Linked DNA regions of Macaca mulatta. The protein of the gene in region 1 interacts with the protein of each later gene in a biochemical or structural test. Links are inferred from orthologs where the notes say so. Each region holds a gene or a part of one and is shown on either strand. Other genes may lie near its edges. The genes, in order: MXD1 and MAX.

Region 1 (3,912 bases):
GAAAACCCTAAAAGAGATTTAAGTCAAAGAATCTTAGAGTTTAATGCCATTCTGTAGGTTCACAAAGTCTCAGCTTTAAAAACCCACTCGCGTGAAAGGAATTAATTATTCCATCATTTCCCGGGGATGGAGGGGGTGCGGAAAAGGCGCATGAGCTCAATGCTGTATATTGGAGCCCGATTCCAGCTCTTTCTTGAGGGCAGAAAAAACGCCAGGCGGCAAGCATTTAACAACCGCCAGGCTTTTCTTCTCAAGCCCCGCAGCAGCCACGTGGCGCCTGCCCGAGCTCCCGGCTCACCGGCCACTATCCTACACCGCTCTCCGGGATGATTCGCGGCTGGGCCCTCGCCAGCCGGAGTTCCGCGAAGCCCAGAACCTCCAGGGCCGCGGCCACCAGACCCAGGGCTCCGGCCCCGAACCCAAGCGGCGCAGAGCGCCCAGGCGACGCGAGGTGCCAGCCTTCCATTCGAGGGACGCCTGGCAGGTCCCCGGAAGTTTTCCCCGGGGACAGGTCTTGGCAACAGGTCCGAGGCGAGACCGGGTGGAGCCGAGCTCCGCGGCTGCCGGTGAATCAGCGCCGCCCAGCGCCGGACCGGCCCTCCCAGCCAATGCCACACCTGGTGAGGAGCAGGCAGGCCGCTGACCATCAGCCACTTAGGGCTCGCCTGAACTGGAGAAAGGTGACATCATCGTAGCTGGGAGGTTTCCGAAGGCTTCACCAATGGGAGACCGGCGAGGTGCTTGCCTGCTACAGCTCTTGGCCAATACTAACAAAGCAAAAGGGGGCCCGGGTTGTTGGTATAGAACCAATGGGAAACAAGGAAGGAGCACGAGGCGGAGTTGCGAATCCTGTCACCAATTGGAAAGAGGGGGTGGAGCCCGGGCCTTGTCAAGCGTGACCAACCAGCGAGAGGAGCGGACTTTGGGGGGTGGAGCCGTGAAGCCCTCTCCCAATCGCACAAGTTTGGGGGCGGGGCATTCTTTGGGGGGCCCAATGAGGAACGCGGCCGAAGCTGGCCTGTCAAGAGAAGGGGCTGGGGGCGGGGAGATGGTGAGTCGGGGATAAACACTCCGCGGCGGTGGCGGCTGCTGCTCTGCTCCGGGTTCTGTCACGGTGTCGGCGGTGCCCAGCTCACTGGCCCCCCTCCCTCTCTTGTCGAGCGTGGTTGCCAGAGAGGCTCCCTCAGCCCTGCTCCGCGGTGTCCACAGCGGGCTCCATAGCGGTCCGGCGGCGGCAGCGAGCCCGTGGGCAGTGGGGGTTGGTCCCGTGGCTCCGGCCCCCGGTGCAGAATGGCGGCGGCGGTTCGGATGAACATCCAGATGCTGCTGGAGGCGGCCGACTATCTGGAGCGGCGAGAGAGAGGTGCACGGGGACGGGAAGGGGTCCACTCGAACCGAGGCCGGGGGTCCTGTAGGGCCGGCCTCAGGTCCGGGCGCCCAGCCGCTCCGGGGGTGGTTGGAGGCGGGGAGACCGCGAGCGCTCCCAACCCCTCCGGCTCTCCCCACGCGCGGTCCGAAGGGAGGCCGCCGCTGCCCTAGAGCAATGAATCAGGTGGAGAAGGGGCTTTCGCCCGCCGGGGTCCCGAACGCCGCCCCTTCCGCAGTCCCTCCCGAATGGGTGGCCGGGGCCGCCTCCGATAGCCTCCCTGGTTTACCTCACCCGGGCTGGTCCCGGCCGGCCCCCAGGTGGGTCCAGCGCCCCAGTCTCCTGGGCAGAGGAGCAGCGCCTCACGGTGCTTGCCCCGCACCTTCGCCTGAGGCTGGTTCCACTTAACCCGCACCAACCTGCTGGACGTTGCCAGTGGGAAACCCAGGCTGCGTGAGCTTAGCCACTACTGTGTCTTTCTCAACAATGAGCAGCTGGAATCCTCTTTACACCTGCTCCGAACTGAGGGTATTCACACAATGTTGTTGTTTTTTTTTTTTTTTTAATCATTGTTCTCAGAATTCCACCTTACTCCATTTAATTATTTCCACAATATTCTTTTAAAGATAAATAAAGGAAAAAGGAAATACTGTAGAGAGGAGAGAGTATTAAATATTCTGGGCCCATTCATTAACTGGATCCTCCTGTTTTCTAGAAGCTGAACATGGTTATGCCTCCATGTTACCATACAATAACAAGGACAGAGATGCCTTAAAACGGAGGAACAAATCCAAAAAGAATAACAGCAGTAGCAGGTAATTTGGTAAATACTTCTTTCTGTCTTTTAGATTATATTGTAGGTGACACAAACTGCTGAATGTAAGTTGCCTGTTGTGATTATAACCCTATAAAATTACATTGTGGCCGTCATGATTCAGTAATGTACACATGGACTTAAGACCTTGTAGGAAGCTGTTTCTGTTTGGGTTGAGGGAACTGAAAAGAAAAATAGAAATGTTTTACATTTTTTATGAACTTTATTCAAAATTTAATTTCGCTTTTCTTCCCTTTTGGAACAAAAAAATCTGTGAAAGCTTCAAGTGAGATTAGCAATGGTGACAATATTTTCCCTTCAGAAGTTGCAGATCAGGGCAAGTTTTCTATAAGTCAAAATGCTGGACATTATCCATTTCTTTTACTTTTCGTTGTAATGATTTTATAAACACATTAAAGTACCTGATTTGGCATAAGTGGTAGGATCTCATACTTGACATGTAAATTAAATACAGTGGTTTGTTTGATACTCTAATTTGTCACCTCTATTTGTAGTGGCAAAGAGGAATGATTGAGGTTAAAACCTACCTCTTTAGTGATAGAGGAATATATAATACCGAAATATTAATATGCTACAACCTTTCCATGTTAGTCTTATAGATTGTCTTATACCATAGTTCTTAAAAGCTGTGAATCTCACTGGAGATTTGGTTAATGGTCAGTTAAATCACATATTAAAGTCCTGTGCATAGTTTCTGGTACATGTAAATAGTCCATCAATGTTACTGCCCTTTTTCTCCCTTCTTTGCCCTTAAAATGTAGTTGGCTAGGAAATTCGTTTTATTAGATCCCTTCAACTATACCTTTCCTGCCAGTAAATTAAAAGCATTGATTTTTTCGTCACTGGTTTAGAATCCTCATCCCTCCCTCACCCTCATGAATAACTCCTTGCAAGTATCTATTTGATATTCTCTGTGGCTTAATACAGACCAGGAATTTCCCACTTAAACCTAAAAATCACTTGTTCTTGCTGCGTCTTCTGTACTTGGTTCACCTCATTAGTATCGTTGGTGGAACCACAGGATGTGAGCAGCATTACTTGTGCCATGCCCTTGAATAAAAATGGCACATGAAGAATCAACCTGGTAATTACTTGGTGGGTTTTGCTTGTCCTCTAATCTTAGCATTACCTGAAGGTGGTAGCCTGTAGTTTTGTGCATGGATATGAAGGCACTTTAAGAAGGTTGTTAATACTGACTTGTAATATGCAATGGTATAAAAACAATTCAGCTGTGTTGCATTTTAATACAGTATTTTTTTTAATTTGTTTAAAAGAATTTTGAGGCCTTTCAGTTAATTTTTCTGGAAAAACATAGTCCATTTTGGCTTTTATTATTGTCCACTAATGATTTGAGAGGAATTGTCCATGTTACTTATTTAGGCTTAATACCTTAACACCTTATTTTTTTCCTTAGTTTCACAGGAAGGTTGTAGGGGATGTTCACTAGTGGGGATAAAAAAATGAGATGTTGAAGTGGTTTGGTCCCAAAAGGTGATTAGGAAAGAAAAATAATAGTAGTTAAGAATCTTAAGCCAAGAAATGGATTCTTTCTAGTAGAAAGAATCAGTACTATGCCAAAAAAAAAAAAAAAAAAAAAAAAAAGGGCTACAAATTCTTCTGTTAATGGGTTGGTTTGCTTTCCATGGTTAGAGACAGGGGATTATCACAGTTGTCCATATACTTGACTGTTAGTGAGTTAGTGTAATATATT
Region 2 (3,419 bases), on another chromosome or scaffold:
CTTCTCTGATCCTTGGGTTCCTAGCAGAGCTACCTCTGAGACTATGCTTGTGAGGTAAGCACTTGGCACCTTGTATGTCACAAAGAAGGCCTTCACAGATGCAGTGGCTCACGCCTGTCATCCCAGCAGTTTGGGAGGCCGAGGGGGGTGGATCACCTGAGGTCAGGAGTTTGAGACCAGTCTGGCCAACATGGTGAAACCCCATCTTTACTAAAAATATAAAAATTAACCAGGCAACATGGCATGCATCTGTACCCAGCTACTCTGGAGGCTGAGGCAGAAGAATCACTTGAACCCGGGAGGTGGATGTTGCAGTGAGCTGAGATCACACCACTCTACTCCAGCCTGGGCAACAGAGCAAGACTACATCTCCAAAAAAAAAAAAAAAAAAAACTGGCTGGGCATGGGGTAACCTGTAATCCCAGCACTTTGGGAGGCCAAGGTGGGATCACCTGAGGCCAGGAGTTCGAGACCAGCCTAGCTAACATGGTGAAACCCCATTTCTACTAAAAATACAAAAATATTAGCCGGGGGTGGTGGCGCATGCCTGTAATCCTAGCTACTCAGGAGGCTGAGGCAGGAGAATCACTTGAACCTGGGAGACGGAGGTTGCAGTGAGCCAAGATCATGCCATTGCACTCCAGCCTGGGCAACAAGAAAGAAACTCCGTCTCAAAAAAAAAAAATACAACAAAAAAAGAAGGCCTACAGTAGCCATTACTGTATTTCTTCAGCCTTTTCCCACCTTATCCTCTTGATTCTAGCCACCCAGGCAGTTGCTGCAGGCCGGGTTCCCTCACTGCCTGGATTCGGTTTTTATTTTGTCCCCTGTGCTTTTTCTCATATTGCCACAGGCATCCCGGGCCCAAATCCTAGACAAAGCCACAGAGTATATCCAGTATATGCGAAGGAAAAACCACACACACCAGCAAGATATTGACGACCTCAAGCGGCAGAATGCTCTTCTGGAGCAGCAAGGTGAGCACCCAAGCTCGTGGGGCAGCTGGCCCTGCTGTGCTCTGGCTGGGTCAGGCTTTGGCACCTAGGCCTGCAGAGTCAGAGCCAGTCATGGAGTGTGTGCTCAGAAGCAGGCTTGGTCCTGCTTCTTGGGGCCTGAGTAGCTGAGTGTTAGAGCCGTCCTGAGGAAGGACCTGAGATGCTAGTGAGGAGACAGTGGAAGCTAGGAAGTTGGACATCTGGAGACTTGTACCTTTTCTGGCCTGACCTCTCCCCTTCTTGGGGCTCAGGTGCTCTGCCTGCAGTAGGGATCACACCTGGCATCAGGTGTCTGAAAAGAGCTTTGAGGTCCTTGGAGTGGAATGTGCTATGTAAGTACCAGAGACTCCAGGTGTTCAGGGACAGTGAGCCCTCCCCATTGTCAATGGTAGTCCAATCGGGGCAGCCTGTGGGCTAGGCCCATGCTGTTCTCAATGCTCACACCCGCCTTTTCCTACAACCACAGGGGAAAGCAAGAGCTGATCAAGTTGTTTGTTCCTGGGGAATTCACTTCTCTTCCTCCCTCATGGAAGATGCAAGTAAAAGGAAATGCAAGTAACCACCTGGGTTAGAAAACCTCAAATAAAATAAAATAAAATAAAGTAAAATAAATGGGTTGACCTTCCAGGCTCAAGCTGAGCTGAACCAAGAGATGGGCAGTGGGTGGTGTCAGTGGGTTGGTTACTGGGCCAAGCAGCCTGCATGTAGGGGCTATTGGAAAAGCCCAGGTATTTTATGTGTATTGGTGACTTGCTTCCAAGTGTCCAGCTTGTCATTTCAAGTGGATCTTGTACACGAGAGCTAAGCCAAAACTGTTCTTTGGCTGATACGTCTTATGTCATCCTTTTCTGCTGTTGCGTGGCCTCACACCTTGTGGAGCCTCATGCTCCTGGGCCAGCTTCTCCTCTGTTATTGCACTTCTAAATCCCACAGGGAGCTCACGCTCCAGTCTCTCCGCAGGGGCTTCCACGGCAGGACGGTGACATCACAAGCCTTCTCTTCGGGGTTGGGTGGGATTGCAGAGTATCTGCTGGCTCCCAGGTCCAGCTGGGAAAGGCGGGAGGGAAATGAAGTGTGTGAGTGAACAGCCACCCGAAGGGAGTACTTCTGAGCATCTTGAGCCTCGGGGGCCAACAAGCAAGCCCTTAGGAAGAACAGGCTGGACCCTGAGTCTGAGACTCGGTTACTCCCCAAGTCTCCAGAAGGCAGTAACACACTCCCTTGGTTGCCTTTTAGTCCGTGCACTGGAGAAGGCGAGGTCAAGTGCCCAACTGCAGACCAACTACCCCTCCTCAGACAACAGCCTCTACACCAACGCCAAGGGCAGCACCATCTCTGCCTTCGATGGGGGCTCGGACTCCAGCTCGGAGTCTGAGCCTGAAGAGCCCCAAAGCAGGAAGAAGCTCCGGATGGAGGCCAGCTAAGCCACTCGGGGCAGGCCAGCAATAAAAACTGTCTGTCTCCATCGTCTCATCCTCCTTTCAGTTCATCGGTAGAACCCTCAGAAGCATCTAAAAGACTCTATTTTTCTCTTTCTCCCTTTTTTTTTTTTAATTTTTATTTTTACATAGAAGCTCTTGGACAACAGCTCTTGTTCTCCTTCCCCATTTCCACTGTATATTTTTTTTAATGTATTCCCTTCAGGGATTCCCTGTCCCCACCAGGAATTTTTAAACCAAAACACCCCAACTTGGCAGCTTTTTCTGTGGAGGACAGATGGCCGGCCAGACCTCTGAGCACATAGTGTCCTGCCCACCCTACCAGCTCCTCCAGCCCTGCCAGGCACATGCCTGGAGGACGCCTGCCCTGCCCAGGCGGCCTCCTGGTCCGCCCTCACCTCTGATAGACTTTGTGAATCTGAACTGCTCTACTTTGAGAAGATGACCGGTTTGGAGTAATCAGAATGAACCCTCCTCCTTTTTAAGGGTTTTTTTTTTTTTTTTCCTTTTTCTAAAAAGCTATGTATCGCTCCTATTGAAAGACCAGATTCTTAAAGAAGTTTGTGGCATAAAAAGAAAGTGGGGACAGATTCGCAGCACAGAGTCCCTGGCATGTTTCACTCCTGCTTCTCTCAGCCAGCTGTTTAAGCCTGCGGTGCCAGCCTCACGGAGGGCCGTGTGACACTCTTGTGGTATGTATGGGAGATGGCAGCAGTGAAGCAGCAGCCACCAGAGAGTGGCCATTTAAGGGTTGGGACAGGGAGGGTGTTTTGGGTGGCATAGAGGTTTTGTATTGAGGGCCAGTGATGATGTTTTGATATTTATTTCCTGCTACTTAAATTTGAATCTGAGTGAATTGTACCTATTTCTGATGATGTCGGTCTTGCAAAGCGACAGATTCATAAAGTAATGATGAAATCTTTCTTTCTTCCCGTGTGTATTTCTAAGAAATAGAGCCAACTGATTTTGTATGTAAATACCAAGA

Evidence for each region.
Region 2: the proteins of MXD1 (region 1) and MAX form a complex in vitro, tested with the Homo sapiens proteins (4 studies listed by BioGRID, with this or other methods). The link is inferred for Macaca mulatta from reciprocal best matches to the Homo sapiens genes MXD1 and MAX.

What each region holds. Positions count from the first base shown.
Region 1 is NC_133418.1:54,837,544-54,841,455, reverse strand, and holds the start of MXD1 (max dimerization protein 1), read left to right. Parts: upstream 1-1,252; 5' UTR 1,253-1,290; coding exon 1,291-1,363; intron 1,364-2,081; coding exon 2,082-2,181; intron 2,182-3,912. UniProt on the Homo sapiens protein: Component of a transcriptional repressor complex together with MAX. In complex with MAX binds to the core DNA sequence 5'-CAC[GA]TG-3'. Antagonizes MYC transcriptional activity by competing with MYC for MAX binding.
Region 2 is NC_133412.1:138,175,355-138,178,773, reverse strand, and holds the end of MAX (protein max), read left to right. Parts: intron 1-853; coding exon 854-977; intron 978-1,246; coding exon of another isoform or gene 1,247-1,413; exon of another isoform or gene 1,414-1,455; intron 1,456-1,461; coding exon of another isoform or gene 1,462-1,546; intron 1,547-2,231; coding exon 2,232-2,419; 3' UTR 2,420-2,904; downstream 2,905-3,419. UniProt on the Homo sapiens protein: Transcription regulator. Forms a sequence-specific DNA-binding protein complex with MYC or MAD which recognizes the core sequence 5'-CAC[GA]TG-3'. The MYC:MAX complex is a transcriptional activator, whereas the MAD:MAX complex is a repressor.